4 linked regions of the Kluyveromyces lactis genome follow. The protein of the gene in region 2 purifies or fractionates together with the protein of the main gene of each other region. This does not show direct contact. Links are inferred from orthologs where the notes say so. Each region holds a gene or a part of one and is shown on either strand. Other genes may lie near its edges.

Region 1 (4,093 bases), about 280 kb from region 2:
TCTGAATGAGATATGCAAGATATTAACCTCTTCCAGCATTCATTCTCTTCAGTCTCAACTTTTCAGCCATAGACATTGGTTTATTGGATACCGGAGCAGTTTGTGCTGGTGCTGGTGCTGGGGTTGGAGTAGAAGGAACAGGGCTAGATCTAGAGCTACCGTTCTTCTTTTCAAGAAGTTCTTCGATTTCTCTTTGCTTTCTAGCAATTTCGTCTCTTTCCTTGTTGATTCTTTCACGTTCGGCACGTCTCTTGGCAAGTTCTTCCTCCTTAGCCAAAGCCTCCTTTTCAGCAGCTTCAGCTTCAATTGCAGCTTGTATTTCAGCAACTTTAGCTTCATAACGTTCCTTACGGACTTGTTCAATTCTTTGCTTCTTAGCTTCTTCTAATTGAGCTTCCTTCAAGGCGCGTTGTTTTTCTAACTCTTCCTTCTTTTCAGCGATAACAGATGACTTGTATTGGTTGAAAGTACTGTAGATTTTGTTCAAACGTTGATGTAGAGCCAATTTCTTTTCATAGTCGGCCTTGGAAGTCTCAATTAACTTCTTCTTGAAATTGTCGTAATTCTCTCTATCCCTCTTTTTTTGCTCTTCAGCGTCCTTTTCTAACAATGGCAATTCCATTTGTCTATAGGCTCTTTCCAGGTGATCTAACTTCTTGAAGGCATAGGTCATACGTTCAGTCAAATCCTTCTTGTTCTTGGCTACTTGTTCAATGACCATTTGGTTGATCTTATCACTTGTTAGGTTCTTGGCTTCCTTTGGATCAATATGAATGACACCATTGGCATTAGTTTCAGCAATCAACTTCTTCATTTCTTGTTCATGGATCGCTTCTCTCTCACGTTCCATCATTTCTTCAGCACGACGTTCCGCTTCTTTCTCCATAGAAGATTCAACAGCAGCCTTTTCCTCAGCCATACGTCTTTGCCTTTCTTCTAGAGCCTTCTTGGCAAGAATCTTGTTTTCTTCTTCGCTTCTCTTCTTGCGTTCAGCGTTACTCTTAGCTCTAATTTCAGCAGCTTCCTTTTCTAACTTGATAACTTCTTCCTTTCTTCTGATCAATTCTTCACGCACAAGTTTGACTCTGTAATAGTAAGAACCATTTTCGTATTCTTCGTTGGCCTTTAAGATCTTGGATAGATCAGTCAACTTAGAACGGACTTCTGAGTTACGAGTGAAGACTTGTTCATTCTGTTCCTCATCAGCATGCGTTTCTTGGGAGGTTTCCTCTTCGGATTCAGAGTTCTTTGCTTCATCAGAAGTGCTAGATTCGGGAACTTCAACAAGAGATGCTTGCCAAGCGTCAAATGGATCTTGGGCAAATGAAACGGTATCAGTTTCATGGTCAATGGAAATACTAACATAATCATCCATAGCAGCTTGGATTAAGTATTTTTCTAGTTCAAAAACAGATAATTCGAAAGGAGCTGGCAGTGACAACATTTCATGCAATTCAACTAAGTGAATAGATGTTTGAGCCTTTGAGACTTCAATGATGGATCTTCTGATGAATAGGTTTCTCAATGGAGCCACGTATTGGGCGAAATATGGCTTTTCAACCAAGTTTGGCAAAAGTGCAGACAATTGAGACTTAGCAGACTTCACATCGAAATTAGTTTCCAATATATTGAAGAATTTCAAAATATCAGCGTCAGCTTTCTCTACGACTTGTTGTTCACCAGCAGCAGTAATCAAATCCTTTCTCTTTGGTTTACTTTCAAGGTCTAGTAAGTCACATAGACGAATTTGAGGATCGAAACCAGCAATTGGTAAGTCATCCAATTGAATTGCCAAAGCGGACAAGACAAATTGAGATGAATAGAACTTAAAGTCTTCTTCGGAAGCATTTGGATTCTTCAAGTACAAATTGTAGAATTTTTCCCATGCAGCAGCGTGCAATAAATAGTTACCAGAGACAAAGAAGATCTTGGCCAAATTTTCGTAGTAGTTGGCCAACACAGAGGGCTTTGGAGCACGCTTCGAGAGACGCATCAAATGATGAACATCTTCAATGGATCTGAAAGCTTCATGCCATAATTCCAATTTAACAGAAACGTTAACTTGTTGGAAACGTTGGTCAGAATAACGTTGCAAAGTGTCAGGATCTGATAAATCGACAGTGTGGTGACCATATCTCTGTTGTTGGTAGTTTGCGGCATCCAAATGTTGACGTAACATTTCAGCTAAACGCTTGAATTCATTCTTACGGTTATATTTGTAACAGAATTGCATGGTTCTGTTAACAACACCCGCATACGTGATTTCCAATTGAGAATTATTTCTCAAGAAATCTAGAGTGGTACGGTAAGATTCCCAGGTAAATCTCAACCAAGCTGAAACATCATCATTGTTGAATCCACCAACAGTTTGTTCTTGTTCGTAAACAGAAACCAACAAATTTTCTGGGGTGACACCACCCTCTAGATCCTCTTCGGCTTGGTCCTTGTTGGATTCTTCTTTGGCATCAGTTTGCGCTTGGATGTTGGTCATCTTAGTTTCGATCAAATCGATGAATTTACGAGCAACAGCACCTACAGAAATCAAACCTTCGGGAGTGTGTTGCATATGCTTCTTGTATTGGTATAAACCTTCCTTGATCATTTTACCCTTCCTCAATTCAACACCAAGTTCCAAGAACTTGAAGATTATAGGTTCCAAAGTGGCAGCATCAGCAAAACGAGACCTTCTTGAAGATAATAAATCAAATAGAGATTGCAACGCAGCCATTGGCTCGCCAACAGAGACTAATTCGTCAGCTCTTCTAATGGCATTCTCAGGACGTAAAGCCGGTGGAGCCATGATGAAATGCTAGTATAATCGATGGGTCGAGAACGGTTGTTATCTACCCTTTCTAAATCAGAGACTAGATCCAAGTATATATCTTTATTTTGCAAGGTGCAATAGGAAGAAGTTTCACATAAATAGACTGAAAAGTTTTTTTTCACTTATTCTCTTTGATCTTCAACGGAAGCATGCTGAAAAATTTCAACCTTCATCAAAAGTTGATATCATTGAGAACGAAGTTGAAGTTTATGTGCTATGTCGCGAGTACATATCACATATGTATAATATATATATATATATAAATGTATCATATTAGAAATGAATAGTATAATTCAAGATGATTGCACCATTAGATCAACAAGTTCATTGACGGGATCCTCATCGTGTCTTGCTGTTTCAATGTTTGTGAGTACTTTTTTCACGCCGACGTTGAGAGTAGATGTAACTTGGGATAATTTGCGGATAACTTCGACTCTACCAGCATCGTCAAGAAATCCGGAATCTGTCATAATGTTATTCAGTTCATCTAGGTTTGATACGTTTGGGACAGCAATTTCGTTGTCGAAACAACTTAGTATATCCATTTGCTTAAGCACCGTGTAAGCGGACGTAGTAGAGATGATAAGCAAACGACGATTATTTGGAGGTTTTCTTTTCAAATAGACCTTGAGTACTTGTAGGATATTATTAGAGAACCTTGGACCAATTGGAACCCAGTCAACTAGAGTCTCTATCGAATCGATAACTAGAATGTTAAGTGGCGATTTGTAAGCATCTCTGAAGGTATTGTCGATGTATGCGATCTTGGCCGTTTCCGACATACCTGCTATTTCTTCAGGGGAAATTAATCTAACAAATGGGAACTCAGACTTCAATGCAATGGCGGCAGCTAAGGCAGTTTTTCCTGAACCTGGAGGACCATGCACTAGTAAGGATACTAGTCTTGATTTGTCTGACTCTCTCACTTGACGGACGTATCTAGCACCGTTTTTCAAAATGTCGTCTACGGAGTTGGAGAACCTAAAGACTCCACCTTCTACGCAAGTCTTCAAATCTTCTTCACTAACACCAAACGCAGGAGTCACTTCATCTAACGCATTCAAGAAATCTTGTCTAGTCACCTTCATGTTTGCAATGTCTTTGGTTTTTAGTTTGGTTGCCCCTTTTCCGATATTTACAGTCTTGTTGATTGCAAAAGAACTAGCACTCTTCACCAAACCCTCAATTTCAGCACCGGAGAAATTCTTCGTGAGTGATGCAAGTTCTTTCAAGCTAACATCATGTGCGAGCATGTTGTTTTCTCTCATT
Region 2 (8,954 bases):
GCAGTTTATTTCCATAGCATTTTTCGCAAAAGGGTTCCTTTTAACAAGGACGGTGTTGGATAACGTTGCAGAACTTGATCCCCAGCTTCCCTTCGAAGCTAAATACGATAAGATGGTTTTACTAATAGTGGACGCATTGAGGTTTGATTTCGTTATTCCAGTAGATGAAAATCATGCCAAGTACAACCCTAATTATCATAACAATTTGAAAGTTCTTTATGAGACGGCCCATAACTCAACGGATTCTGTCTTGTTGAAGTTTTTGGCTGATCCTCCCACAACTACGCTACAAAGATTAAAGGGATTGACAACAGGTTCCTTGCCTACATTTATAGATGCAGGATCGAATTTCAATGGTGATGTGATCGATGAGGATAACTTAATAAAACAGCTTTATCTGCATAACAAGAAAATATTCTTTGCCGGTGATGACACTTGGGATGCCCTATTTAATCCGTATTTGGCTCCAGAAAGTGTACCATATGAATCCTTGAACGTTTGGGATTTAGACACAGTCGATAATGGGGTTATTTCTTACTTAGAGGAGTATTATTTCAATGAAGAGAAACGGTCTGAATACGATATCTTGATCGGACATATGTTAGGAGTTGATCATGTCGGACATAAGTACGGTCCTAATCATTTTACCATGAAGGAAAAACAGCTTCAAGTTGATGAGCTATTGCGGAAAATTATAAGCACTGCAGATGATAACACGTTATACGTTGTTATGGGTGATCACGGTATGGACCACACAGGAAACCACGGTGGTGATTCGCAAGACGAGTTGGAAAGTGTCCTTTGGCTATACGCGAAGAATGCCAACTGGAGTAAGGATTACGACAGTTATAATACTACAGATCTGGGTACTTCATATAAGCAAATGAACCAGATTGACCTGGTGCCTACCCTCTCCTTACTATTGGGAATTCCAATTCCATTCAATAATTTGGGTTGGCCGTTGGATGAAATTGCAAATGACCCTGAAGAATTAACGCTTTACCACAATATATGTCGGAACCAATTAGAGAAATATTTGAGCGTCAGTAACATAATCGGTGCCACTGCTAGACGTGATGCGTTGATAAGCGTCGAGAACCACCCAGAGTTTCAACAAATGTTCCTTGAAATTTGTAAAGATTTGTGGGCAAGATTTGATTTCACAAGTATATGCGTAGGAATAGCACTCATGGCTTTTTCTTTGATATTGTTACTCATTATAATCAAGTTGATACCTTCGATAGTTGTTGGCCAGATGGTTGGTGATTTCGTTGGTTGTGTCGTAGTCATTTCGGCAATATCAAATGTCAGCTTCCAAGGTATCTACCAAGTGTTACATCAACCAGCATTTTTGGATAATTCTCTTTGGTGCTCTGCTTTTGCTACTTCTGTTGGAATTATTTTGGGAGTGTTCATCCCTATATTTGATCGCTATAGTGTCCAATGGTTATGTTTACGTTTGGTTGAAGAACTATCCGATTATTGGTCAAGAATAGCGACCTTATTCATCACATTGCACGCCCTTCTGTTTACCTCTAATTCATTTACCATTTGGGAAGATAGGATTGTCGCTTTCTTGCTAACCACTTTTGGTATGCTAACATTATATGAATTCGCGTTCCTACCGCAAAGACACTCAACAGCTGCTATTTTATCTGGAGCCGGAGAAAAACAAGGGACTTTATCCGGTAAATCTGTGGGCGAATCTAATTCAGATTCTTTACCGCTGGGCAGATTCGCAAGGATATTAGGTGGGTATCATTCTATTGTGTTGGTTCTATGCACAAGACTCTCTTCCATGATTACTATTTGCCGTGAAGAACAAGGACCATATTGCACGCCAACGTTTACTATCTCCAATAACTATTCATACTATACCATGTTGGGGTGTTTATTTTTAATTCCTGCAATCCCTTCTTGTATTAAGGGTTATTACAACGTATGCTCATCTTATCAAGCAGCAGCACCGATCTGGATCGGGTTGATTCTAAAGGGTTCTTTGTTTGCGAGTTTCACATACTGGTCTTTACTGACAATAGAAAATAAATTCGAAGATTTAGCATGGGACCTAACTATCTGGAAATATACTATATCTCGTATTATTGTCGGTATATCGTTAATTGCCTGTAATATTGGCTGGATGAAAGGGCCCCTATGTGTTAAACTAAACATCCATAATACAGACTTGAAATCTCAACAGGCCACAATCTTAGGTTACTCTAACGTCTATGGATCCCAATACTTTCTATTGGTCATAAACTTTTTGATGGCTATCATGCTTTTCAATAAGCCATTAGGTCAACTATCAATATTCTTAATGTGCAACCAATTACTTTCTATCATTGAAATATGTGACCTACTCAAAGTAAAAGAGAGTTTAATCGGACCCGTTGCCCTTGGTTTACTAGCGTATCAACAGTTTTTCAGTACTGGGCATCAAGCGACAATTCCATCAGTTCAATGGGATATGGGTTTCATTTTAACAGAAAAGATCATTTTTCCTTGGACACACCTTGGGATTGTATTGAATACCTTTGGGCCATTCATATTGGTAGCGCTTTCCGTGGCCTTATTAACTCTTTGGAAGCAACCGCCAAGTGTCTTACAACCACAAACAATTCTTGCAAGAATTGTTTCGAATTCCGGTACTTTGTTGATATATAACAGTGTTCTATGTTTGAGCAGTTTTGTTTGGGTGACGCATTTCAGAAGACACCTAATGGTGTGGAAAATATTCTGTCCTCGATTCCTATTTGCATCATTATGTTTGATAGTAAGTCAACTCGTTGTAACATTTATTACTATTGGTTTTGCAAGTTCTAGACTAATCAGGCAGATAAGTCAATTGTTTTCAAAATAAACCTTACTCGAAACCAATATAGTAGGAACTCTCTTAATGTATAAATAAATTTATTTATTTATTTATGCGAGATGGACACGGACGATTCGTATGTGTCGTTTTGAAGAGGCCTGTTTTATTTGATTTGCATTCAATATCTCGCGAAATTTTTGGTTGATAATTGGGAGAATAAATAATTTATAGATATTATACAGATGTATTAATTATTGTACAGTAACATTTATGCACAAAAATGGTATTGCCGAGGACTATGCCGTTCCAATCAATTGGAATTGATTCATGATTTGTAATATAACCTTAAAAACCAGCCAACAGATAAGAAATGATGAGAATTAGATAGGATGAATGATGAATAATGACAAAAAAATAAGCAAAAAAGACACATTAGAATGGATACCCGATCGCCATTAGTAAGGCGATTAAACACCATTGTGGTCTAAGAAGAAATAGTTACCAGATGACTTTTGTTCTTTATCCATTTGGGAGTCTAATTTATTGATTCTTGGTCTGAAAGAGGTTGGATCTCTTCTGAAGGTAACGTTCAAGTTCTTTAAGAATTTGTTACAACCAGTCAACAAACTTTCTGGAGCTCTAGCGAAAGCTTGCTTAGATGGGATACCATCGAACACGATGACTTTATCGGCCAAATATGTAGCCATGATAAAATCGTGCTCGACGATGAATGCAGTTTTCTTATTATGCAAGATGAAACGTCTGATAACTTTAGAACAAATGATACGTTGTTCAGAATCTAAGTAGGCAGATGGTTCATCAATCAAGTAAATGTCAGCATTCATACCCAAAGAAAGCACAATAGCCACTCTCTGTAATTCACCACCAGACAAATGCTGAACTTCTTGATCAATGATATCATCGATTTTCAAAGGCTTAACGACATCAGTTTGGAACTGTGGGTTCAAGAATTGTGCTCTAATTCTCTTAAAGAACAATTGACGCACAGTACCAGTGAACTTTGGAGCAATCTTCTGGGGCTTCATTGAAACGTTCAACTTAGGAATATCTTGACCATCATCAGCAGGAATAGCACCTGCAAGAAGTTTAATTAATGTTGTCTTACCAGTACCGTTTTCACCCATCATAACCAAGATTTGAGAATCGGAGAATTCACCTGCTTCAACGGTTAGAGAGAAATCACCTTGTGTACGTTTCATATCTGGGTAAGTGAATGCACGGCTTGCATCGGCTTCCAATTCATCACCAGCATCAGCCATACGGAATTGTAGCGCTTCAGTTCTGAAACGCAAATTTTCAGACGGAATGTGACCATCTAAGAATATATTAATACCTTCACGGACAGAAGATGGTAAAGTAACAACACCATAAACAGAAGGCACACCATAAATAATACAAACAAAATCCGACAAATAATCTAGCACCGATAAATCGTGCTCCACACAGATAACGTATGTGGTTGGATTCAATAGAGATCTGATAATTAAAGCAGCGTTCAAACGTTGCTTAACATCCAAATAAGAAGAAGGTTCATCGAACATATAAACATCTGCTTCCTGAACACAAGACATACCGATAGCAAATCTTTGCAATTCACCACCTGAAAGGGCAGAGACTTCTCTGTTCAAAACATTCTTTAACTGTAAGATATCGATATACCTCTTAGCATCATCTTTTGATTTCTCCAATCTCAATTTCAACAACTCGCCAACTTTTTGGACGGGGCCCTTAATGGCACGAGGAATGTTATCCACATATTGTGGCTTGATGATAGCTTTGATATCATCTTCCAACATCTTAGTGAAATAGTTCTGCAATTCAGAACCACGGAAATATTTAATGATCTCTTGCCATTCTGGAGGATCTTCGAAACGACCAAGGTTAGGCTTTTGCTTACCTGCCAAGATCTTCAATGCAGTAGACTTACCAATACCGTTGGTACCGACAAGACCCAAAACCTGACCCGGTCTTGGAGTGGGCAAACGATGCAACTTGAAAGAGTTTGCCGAATAACGATGTGTCACTTGAGAATCTAAATTCGTTGGCAAATTGATGATTTGAATAGCATCAAATGGACACTTTTTAACACAAATACCACAACCGATACACAAATTTTCAGAGATAAACGCAATCTTGGAAGTAGGCATCACTTCTATACATAACTTACCAGTCTTAACCACGGGACAAGATCTCTTACATTCCTGACGACATTTCTTTGGCTTACACTTATCCTCGCTGACAATAGCGATACGAGTATTTTTCGATGACATTTTTTTTGGTACTATGAGTTTGTTTTGTGTTTCTATGATTGAATTAAAATTCAGGTACTTCCCAGTATCCGTTCTCTATCAATAAAAATGTTGGGAGTTGGAGCGTAAAGATTCCGTAAATGTATATTGTTTATGCCCTTGCTAGTGGGAGACGCTGTAGTTTATAAACCTTCCTGATTCCTTGCTTTGCAATTGACCTAGGATAGATTAGGACAGATTAAAATATAAATTAGGATGGATTAAAATCAGATTAATAATATCCTTCTGTATCCGAAATAAATAGTTTTAAGAGTAGTCTTATATCAAACTCTTCTCACCAGCCTTGAAACCGTATTCTCTAGTCTGTGCTTCTAAAACAAAAAAAAACTCTTTAAAAAAACGAATACCACTACTAAAGAATCAGAACCTATTACTTATTGAGATACAAGTAATCAAATTATAAGTACAACTGAATTAAAGCAAACTAAAACAAGTGAAATAACTTTATATTTTAAAACCTTTACCATTGTTTTCATACAGATAAAGCTTGGAAATTGTTATTGTTCCATTCTCGTTTTCTCGATGAGATGAGCTTTGTGAAATTTTTCAGTGAAAAAAAAAAAAAAAATTTTTTTTGGTGATGAAAGGATTAGTTAATTATCGTTTAGAGTGATGTGATATGAATATATAAAGAAAGCCGGCTTGAGATCTTGTTTTCTCTTCTTTGGATATCACTTTTCGGGGAATCATTTTTCCGGAACTTGGGCGGTTAAATCATGTCGAAGAAGCAAGGGTAGATTTGGGCGGGAAAGTGCCACTATGGTGGGAATTTCCCTGGAGTTATGTCATTGTGGTTGATTCAGGGGTGTCTCTCCGGTGTGGGCTCGCGTTGCCCATTTTTCAATGGGCAACGCGATATAAGTGCTTGAGTTTGTTCCTCCCTTTTTGAGGTGCATCATTCATATGGAATTGCTCACCAAGTGTGTAAACGTTTGGTTACTGATACGATGAAAGGGGCCCGTACTCGATTAGTACGGGATATGCTCTCTATTGTCGACTTTTTGAAATCGCCAGCATTTGAAATATTCACGGAATTCATACTGTACTGTATTTTTTTCTGTTGAAATTGAAACTGCTGTTTTATCAACTGGAAACCTCCTCAATTGACCACCGTTTGACCGTTCATTATCCAACCTTATTCTTTCCTTCGGTCTGAACAAACCGAGTAGACACGCCATGTACGTGTTTATTCAGCGTTTGCCAAGTCTGTCTCCACTGACATATGTGCCGATCATCTTCTACTTCTTGCTACCTTGCCCCATCGATTGAGATGGATAGTAATGTAATCCCCGTCTTGGTTGTCACCTGTCAACGGTAATGTGATACATTACTTCCTAGTTACCCTCTTTCTCACCCTAGTTTTATAAAATTTTTTTAGTCCTATATCGTCTGTATCTTTCCCGTAGTCAAAACTTGTTTTGAACTCTTTTTCCAATCTAAACCTGTAAAGAAAAGACCCATTCAACAGAGCACACGATTTAAACGTGAGAATATCTGCATTTAAGGATTCGATAGGTATTCTAAAGCAGTGGAGGTGAACGAATCTATTGTCACAGAGTGTTAAAGTTGTGTTTTGTATTAATATTTTTTTTTGTTTTTCCCTCTGTTTAGATTCATGCAATAATGGTACAGGATTTACCAGACGAAGTCTTAGCGAATCCGGAACTTTACGGGTTGCGTAGGTCGCATAGAGCCGCTATCACCCATAATACTTATGCTGGTTTAGATTCAGATTCAGATGAGGAAGTGATTCGTCCCAGAAGGGGTAAGCAAAAGCGGAAGGCTGTGAAACAGGAACATAATTATGACGAAGAAGAGGAAGAAGAAGAGGAAATTGATGATTTCAGTGACACTGATGATTTCGGTTCGAAAAGGAAACCAACCCGCGCACCTAGTGCCAAAAGGGGTAGGAAGCGTGTCAGTGCTGGTAATTCAAAGAGTAAACGCCAAGCGAAACGTGTCGAGGAGAGTGACGAGGAAAATGTCGTTTTGCCTACCAGGTTTTCGTCTCGGAATAATAATAAAGTCATTAATTATACATTAAATGATGATTCTAACGATGAGGATTTGATGGAATCTTCCGAGGAACAGGATGAGGGTCATAATTTGGATAGCGAGGATATGGACTTGCAAGATGGATATTCTGCTTCGCCGTCGCCGCAACAGGAAACGCATAGCATCGACATCGTTGTCGATCATCGTTTGAAGGAAGGTGTTGATAATTCGGGATCGACGAAGAATCGTAGATGGGATGTGGATTCCATCAGAGCTAACTTTGAGTTCCTTATTAAATGGGCAGATCAATCTCATTTACATAACAGTTGGGAGTCCTACGAGGACCTCAAGGAGAACGGGACTAAAGGTTTGAAAAGAATAGAGAATTATTATAAACAGTTTATCATTTTAGATCAAGAGGTGAGAGCAGACCCATATACCACCAGAGAGGATATAGAAGTCATGGATCTTGAGCATGAGCGTAGAATTGACGAATTCGAAGAGTTCAAGGTGCCAGAACGGATCATTGACTCGGAACGTTTTGAAAATGAGGACGGATCAGGTTCGTCCCAATTGAAGTATCTTGTAAAATGGCGTCGTTTAAATTATGATGAGTGTACTTGGGAAGTAGCCTCCGAGATTGTCAAGATGGCTCCTGAACAGGTAAAAGAGTTCCAAAACAGAACCAATTCCAAGATAATGCCACAAAACTCCTCTAATTACCCAGCAAATCAAAGACCGAAATTCGAAAAGCTAGACGCCCAACCTAGTTTCATTAAAGGTGGGGAACTAAGAGATTTTCAATTGACTGGTATCAATTGGATGGCCTTTCTTTGGTCAAAGAACGATAACGGTATCCTTGCTGATGAGATGGGTCTTGGTAAAACTGTTCAAACTGTTTCATTTATCAGTTGGCTCATTTACGCTAGAAGACAAAACGGTCCTCATTTAGTAGTGGTACCTTTATCAACCATGCCTGCATGGCAAGAAACTTTTGATAAATGGGCTCCTGGTTTGAACTGTGTTTACTATATGGGTAATCAAGCTTCAAGGGACTTAATTCAAGATTATGAATTTTACACCAACCCACAAGCTAAGGGCAAAAAACATCTCAAATTTAACGTTCTGTTGACAACATATGAGTATATTTTGAAAGATAGGTCAACGTTGGGTTCAATTAAGTGGCAGTTCCTGGCTGTGGATGAAGCTCATCGTTTGAAAAATGCAGAATCATCTCTATATGAATCTCTAAACAGTTTCAAAGTTGCGAACAGATTGTTAATCACCGGTACACCGTTACAAAATAACATTAAAGAATTGGCGGCATTGGTGAATTTCTTAATGCCAGGCAGATTCACTATTGATCAAGAAATCGACTTTGAAAATCAGGACGAACAACAGGAAGAATACATCAGAGATTTGCATAAGAGGTTACAACCCTTTATTCTTCGTCGTTTGAAAAAAGATGTAGAAAAATCCTTGCCCTCGAAAACCGAACGTATCTTAAGAGTGGAACTCTCTGATGTTCAAACGGAGTATTATAAGAACATTCTAACAAAGAATTATTCTGCTTTGACTTCTGGTATTAAGGGCGGCCACGTTTCTCTTCTAAATGTTATGAATGAATTGAAAAAGGCATCAAACCATCCCTATCTTTTTGATAACGCCGAAGAAAGAGTTCTTTCTAAGTTTGGTGATGGTCACAAATCTAGAGAAAACATTTTAAGAGGGTTGATCATGTCCAGTGGTAAGATGGTATTATTGGATAAACTTTTGACACGATTGAAAAAGGATGGTCATCGGGTTCTAATTTTCTC
Region 3 (2,181 bases), on a different chromosome or scaffold from region 2:
AAGGAGTCCTTGATGGCTATTTTGGAAGCCTTTGCATACGATCCATTAATCAACTGGGGTTTCGATCTACCGACTCAAGCCGTGATGGAACAGACGGGAATAGATCTACCTCTTGCAAATCCAAGTGAGTTACTAAGAAAGGGCGTCATCACCGTTGAAGATGCGGCCAAGATGGAACTACAACAAAAGGCAGAAGTCCGCAACGCAAGAGCCACTCTTGTTCTCAAAAGAATCGCTGATAAACTTACTGGTAACGATTTCCCAAGGTATCAAGAACTATCTGTGCCTGATCAAGTCGACAAGTTGATCCAGCAAGCTACATCAGTAGAAAACCTATGTCAACATTACATCGGCTGGTGTTCGTTCTGGTGATACCTAAACAAAAAGAACATCGCTAAAAGCATTATAGACTATTGAATCATTATATCTTCTTATACACTATGTATTTGTAAGAAGGTGCGTATACCTGTCATTATTTATCAAAATAAAAATCATACTCATCAAGAATACTTACCTTCATAATCCAATACCCGAGCTTGCCATTTGGATAGGAGTACCTTCAATGAATCTAAAGGTTGTAATTCTTCATCGAAGTGTCTAGCGGACAACACCCTGTTAATCCGTAGTTCGTCTTGAGCTTGCTTTAAGTCTGCAGCAACTTGAGGGTCTGCATTCCCATAAAGCGTGGTAAATAGCCTCAATTTACCCACAATTTCCCCTATTTGAAACCCATACTTAGCACCCAAGGGGAAGGTATCGTCAAACCCAGCTTGCAAGTTTTCCTCCTTCGCTGACGAAATACCATCTAAATACCCTCTTTTCGAATGTATTTGTTGAAGTTTCTTCACTTCTAGCGACTCTTGAGGACCGGTACTGGCCTCATTATCAGAGCCCCATATATTTTCCTCATCTGTCATCTCCACGGTCATTGGTCGTGAGGTTATGATCAATATCTTGGTCCTCTAGTGGACACCTCTTTATCATCTCATCGTGTACTCTGTATTTAATAAGCTTTCAACATTGAAAAATTCCCAGCTGAACCTTTAACGACTTTGAATGATAAGATCTTTTGGATTATAAAATATGAGAAATAAAGGTTTGTAAAGGGCCATTGAGAGCTCAAGAAGGTGTTGAGGCGCGATGTCTAGTGGAACGATATTCAAGAAACAGAAGTTGAACCCATCAGATGGTAAAGGTCAAGCAAAACCATGGGTTGAAAAGTATAGACCAAGGAAATTAGATGATGTTGCTGCTCAGGATCATGCCGTTACCGTCTTGAAAAGGACTTTACAGACTGCAAATTTGCCACATATGTTGTTTTATGGTCCTCCTGGTACTGGTAAGACTTCTACTATTCTTGCTTTGACGAAAGAGTTGTACGGTCCCCATTTATCGAACAGCAGAGTTCTAGAATTAAACGCGTCCGATGAACGTGGTATTTCGATCGTCAGAGAGAAAGTGAAGAACTTTGCTAGGCTCACTGTGTCTAAGCCATCAGAATCAGACCTTGCGAATTATCCATGTCCACCATACAAAATTATCATTCTTGATGAAGCCGATTCTATGACTGCTGACGCACAAAGTGCGCTGCGTAGAACCATGGAAACCTATTCTGGTGTCACTAGATTCTGTTTGATCTGTAATTACGTTACTAGAATCATTGATCCCTTGGCTTCAAGGTGTTCCAAATTCAGATTCAAAGCGTTGGATTCATCCAATGCACTAAGCCGTCTACAGTTCATCGCTAACGAAGAATCTTTGAAATATGAAGACGGTGTTCTTGAAAGAATATTAGATATTTCCCAAGGTGATCTAAGAAAGGCTATAACTCTGCTCCAATCTGCAGCTAAGATCGTGTTGCAGAACGATGATGCGAATACTATTACTTTGAAGCATGCTAATGAATTATCGGGGACGATTCATGAAGAGATACTACAGGATCTAATCAACGTAATAAAAGGAAAAGATCTCAACAAGATTATTGATAAGGTACAGGAATTTGTTAACCAGGGATGGAGTGCAGCTTCAGCATTGACCCAATTGCATGAGTATTACATCAAGAATGAAAGCTACGATACAGAGTTTAAGAATAAGGTATCTTGGCTACTTTTCGATAGCGATTCCAAGTTAACCAACGGAGCTAGCGAGCATCTTCAAATGTTGAACCTAGCAATGAAGGTA
Region 4 (4,222 bases), on a different chromosome or scaffold from region 2:
AATGTGTATCATATACATATATATATAGAATGAACCAGCGCATAAACTGTATTGTTACGAGTCAATGTTCGAGATGTTATATGTCTCCAAAATTCAATTAATTGATTTCAAAAACTACGTAATTGCCTACAGTGAGAACTATGTTATATATTATCGATAATGTACAAATACTAGTATTTATTGCAAATGCTAAAACAAAGGTTCTTTGCCAACGACTCTGTCTATTAATATGCGCACGGTAAGTGAACAAAAGAAGGAAGAGCAAATTTTGTTATGTGTATGGAAGGTGAGTGCTACAATTAGAAACTGACCTTATCTGCTGAACGAAGAATGAAAATGTTTACTGGCGTAAACGTTCAGAGTGGTACTTGGTTTCTTTAACTAACTTGATGGCAACTTCTTCTAACTTTGTGATTTCTTCGCCTCTTTCGAAGATAATGTATTCGTTATTTTCATCCAATTTGGCTTTAACTTCGTAATCATTGATGATGTTTTGTGCTACAGCCAAAACCTTTTCGATATCAAGATCAAACAATTTCGATAATTTAGAAATGGATATTTTAGAGTAGAATCTCTTGTAAGTGAAAATGTAAGTTTTCAAAGTTTCAATTTGAACCTTTTCACTTAGTTGGTTGATGATATCATCAGATTTACTCAACAAAGACCACACAGAAATTTTCCTCAAATATTCGATCGATTGTAAGTAATCACCCTTTTGCATTGACTTTGCAGCATAAAGAATGTGATCTCTTAGAGTTTCTGGAGGACCATGGAAAATAGCTTTCTCTGAACTCTCTAGAATACGGCGGATAGATTTTTGGAAAACTGGGATTCTCTTGACCTTAATACCGCTGTAATAAGCTGCCATGTGAGGCACATCAAGTAATAAAGAACATGTCATGTAGACGGTGTCAATTAGATCCAAGTTGATGTGTTGATGGAAAGGAAGACATAATTGTTCAACAGGGGCACCCTGCACGACATTGCTGTTCGCATTAGCTCTTTGTAAACTTTGTTGACCCAAAATTTCTCTTAGATGTGGATTAATACAAAGACCGTTCAAAACTTGGTGACATTCATTTATTAAACCAGCCTTAAATGCAGCCAAACCAAGTTGAATAACACATCTATTGTACAAAATTTGTAATGCTGCATCAGAGCCTGAAATGAATTTAGCAATATCGGAAGAAAGCATTATTTTCTTTGCTGGAGCGTATTCTTGGTTCAATGCAATATAATATGTTTTGTACAAGGTACCTTTTCTGTAGTTGAACACGTTGTTACTCTTTTGTTTAATTAAGAAATCGGACAATTCAGAGATGACCTTGAAGTTGTAATCGGCATCTGCGGAATCTGATTCATTCAAACGAACGAAAGAGGATTCAAGGGACGCAGTTCCTTCACGAATTTGTTTCCATGCAACGGTTTCCATAATAGAGATGAGCTTGTCGGACTTGTAGTAGATATGTTCAAGTCTTCTGTTGAAGACACGGGCCAAAAGTCTATCGCGGTGTTCTTCTGCAGTTACACGTTCAAAGTACAATTGGGATCTGATAATCAAATTGTAAATAGATTGTTCATCTCTCAAACGTTCCATGTATTCACTGGAACGAGTGTCAATGTTCAAAAGGGATTTGCTAAATTCATCGTCCAATCTTTCAACCATAGAGAAGATAGAACCCAAAATTTCCTTGACACCATGCTCATTAGCTTCTGGTTCATCTTCAATGAAATCATTTCTTGGGGCAAATTCAGTAACTTGATAGTGGTCGATCTCTTGTTCCAGCACTTCCAATAAACCATCCAAGTTATCCTTTGATGCTTTCCATTGTTCTAGTGGTTGGTATGATAAGGATACAGATGCATCGAATCTGATTGGAATCAAGTTCAAGTATGTACAGATCTTTTCATATGGAGTCTTGGCAATCTTCAATAGTTCTTCGGTGGTTTTAATTTGTTCTGTGTGGTCAGTGTTTTTCTTACCTCTAGAATCGATGATAATATTCAACGTCTTGAAAAAGTCTAGCTCAGAAATGTTATTTGCCACGGATGCCAAGTCTAAATTCTTCTTACCACTCAAGGAGAATGGAGTAGCAGAGACATCTCTTGAGTCTATATCAGCATCTAAGACAGGTTCCTTGTCAAAGTCCTCTGGGTTTTCTCTGTAAGCCTTAACGGAGGTTTCGTTTTCTCTGATTAACTTCTTAACTCTTTGCTTGGTGGTGTTATAAGCTCTTGCAACTGCCTTATTCTTAATTTCATCCTGAGAAGTAGCAGATACCGCATCTTCAAATCTAGCCAATGACTTCACAAAGATATTAGGTGTACCGTAGTTTTGTTGTTGGGCTTTTGTGTATAATTTCAAAATGGTTTCCAAATGGTTTAATAATGATTCCCAATCTTGTTGGGCTTCTGCGGAATCAATTTTTTGGTAAATAGATTTCATTTCATCCAACAACTTCTCTTTTGCTGACTTCACAACCTTCTTACCATCTTCTTCGTCGGATGAGTCTTCATCAGATGAATAGTTGGTAGATTTCAAGAACTTGTTAGCACCTGAACCACCACCTTTTCTGAATTCTGGCTTCTTGAACCAGTCAGGGCCGTAGGGTTTGCTATCAGAATCATTGTCTTCATCATTATCGGAACTCTCATCAGAGTCGTTGAAGAAAGAGTCATCAGATAATTCTTCCTCACTGGAGGATGAAACTAAATCCTCTTCACTTTGAGATAACAAGTCTTCTTCTTCACCAGAAGACGTTGAATCGTACTCATATGTCTTCAAAAAAAAACGGGACATGATGAATGGACTATCGCTTAACGTTGTTCTATTTCCTTAATACCACGTACTAATCTCAACCTAGTCTCCCTGTTACGACCTGGTGATTCCAACCTACAATTGAAAAGTATTGCTTATTACACGTCTCAACTGAATTTCATCTATTAATTCGATTTCAAACCTTTCAGATTTTCTTTTGAGATGAGCTTTCACTGAGTGAAAATTTGTGAAAATTTTCAAATAATCATGGAACACGATTGGTAGCCGGGTAATGATAAATGAATGTACCATTGCAAAGAACAAAGTGAAGTGGGAGTCTGTCGCCGGTTGATGTTAGGCCAAAATGGACGTCTAACTTTGTGTGATTGCGTATAATCATCGATGATAAATAGGGTATAAAATAATATCGATTTAATTTAGTTATATGAAAAGTGAAATATAGATGTTGCTAAGAAATAAAATAATTTTGAAGCTTTCATACCATATACGATGCCTTCTTGATCGATGTTTTGTGGGCATACTTCGACAACGGGATAGATACATTTATGGTTCATGAAAATGTTCTGCTGTTGTGATATATAAAGTACTCTTTTAATGTTCTTTTTTTTTTTTAGTCCAGGAATTAAAATGGATAGTATCGCAATTTGAAGAATTCAAGTAGGTAATAAGTTAATATCACCTTTAGATAACAGCCGTAGTAACAAGTATGAATGGATCAATTTGCTGAAGGAATGTGTGACCTAAATGTGACATGAAAGCTTCATTTGTATAATTTTGAGTTGTTAATAGGAGACGAAAGGAAACAACAAGTCAACAATTATAACCGGTATCAAATGAGAAAGTGGAAGGGTAAAAAAAATACACACAATCTGTATTGTATGTTAAAGAGAAGAGAAGCTCAACTCAAAAATTAAGAGCTGAAATCACAATCCAACTTGAACTTCAAGTTTCTGTTGGCATCCCAAACACCCCAGTACTTTTCAACATCGGAAATACCAGAAGTATCTGGTTTCCAGTCCTCATCGAAAGCTTCGAAAACGATAACGTTGACACCCCAGCCTCTCATAGCACAAATACCATCAGCCCAAAATTGCTTAGCGTTATCTAGACCTGGGTAAGCACTTTCAAAGTTGGTACCATCGGTTGGCCAGCCAGTTTCACCAACCCAGAATTGAATGTCAGTAGAACCCTTGGTAGTTTGGATAGTTTGTAGAGCTTGCATGATATCGTCGAAGAACGAGTAAGAAGCATTATCCATAGTTTGACCTTGCCAGTAAGAGAAGGCGTTCGCCATGACAAAGTCAGCAGCTTGAATGGCGGTAGCAGATCCACCATCGACCAAAACGTTCCATGAGTCAACAGTACCGACTTGCTTGCCACTGTAAGAGTTACCATCGGAATCCTTGATGTCTTTAATGTAGTCCTTGACATCAGAGATAGCAT

The links. The genes of interacting proteins can lie anywhere in the genome.
Region 1: the proteins of RLI1 (region 2) and RPG1 purify together in Saccharomyces cerevisiae (affinity purification with mass spectrometry; 3 studies listed by BioGRID, with this or other methods). This does not show direct contact. The link is inferred for Kluyveromyces lactis from reciprocal best matches to the Saccharomyces cerevisiae genes RLI1 and RPG1.
Region 3: the proteins of RLI1 (region 2) and YAE1 purify together in Saccharomyces cerevisiae (affinity purification with mass spectrometry; 3 studies listed by BioGRID, with this or other methods). This does not show direct contact. The link is inferred for Kluyveromyces lactis from reciprocal best matches to the Saccharomyces cerevisiae genes RLI1 and YAE1.
Region 4: the proteins of RLI1 (region 2) and NIP1 purify together in Saccharomyces cerevisiae (affinity purification with western blotting; 4 studies listed by BioGRID, with this or other methods). This does not show direct contact. The link is inferred for Kluyveromyces lactis from reciprocal best matches to the Saccharomyces cerevisiae genes RLI1 and NIP1.

What each region holds. Positions count from the first base shown.
Region 1 is NC_006039.1:1,266,388-1,270,480, forward strand, and holds RPG1 (translation initiation factor eIF3 core subunit a), read right to left. Parts: upstream 2,801-4,093; coding exon 23-2,800; downstream 1-22. Other genes in the region: AAA family ATPase SEC18, read right to left, coding at 3,118-4,093.
Region 2 is NC_006039.1:1,541,125-1,550,078, forward strand, and holds RLI1 (Fe-S cluster-binding ribosome biosynthesis protein), read right to left. Parts: upstream 5,104-8,954; coding exon 3,280-5,103; downstream 1-3,279. Other genes in the region: mannose-ethanolamine phosphotransferase GPI13, read left to right, coding at 1-2,860; chromatin-remodeling ATPase CHD1, read left to right, coding at 6,766-8,954. UniProt on the Saccharomyces cerevisiae protein: Component of the multifactor complex (MFC) involved in translation initiation. Required for the binding of MFC to the 40S ribosome. Required for the processing and nuclear export of the 60S and 40S ribosomal subunits.
Region 3 is NC_006038.1:1,229,257-1,231,437, forward strand, and holds YAE1 (Yae1p), read right to left. Parts: upstream 930-2,181; coding exon 501-929; downstream 1-500. Other genes in the region: phosphatidylinositol kinase-related protein kinase TOR1, read left to right, coding at 1-372; RFC2 (replication factor C subunit 2), read left to right, coding at 1,141-2,181. UniProt on the Saccharomyces cerevisiae protein: The complex LTO1:YAE1 functions as a target specific adapter that recruits apo-RLI1 to the cytosolic iron-sulfur protein assembly (CIA) complex machinery.
Region 4 is NC_006042.1:279,815-284,036, forward strand, and holds NIP1 (translation initiation factor eIF3 core subunit c), read right to left. Parts: upstream 2,801-4,222; coding exon 341-2,800; downstream 1-340. Other genes in the region: BGL2 (glucan 1,3-beta-glucosidase), read right to left, coding at 3,690-4,222. UniProt on the Saccharomyces cerevisiae protein: Component of the eukaryotic translation initiation factor 3 (eIF-3) complex, which is involved in protein synthesis of a specialized repertoire of mRNAs and, together with other initiation factors, stimulates binding of mRNA and methionyl-tRNAi to the 40S ribosome.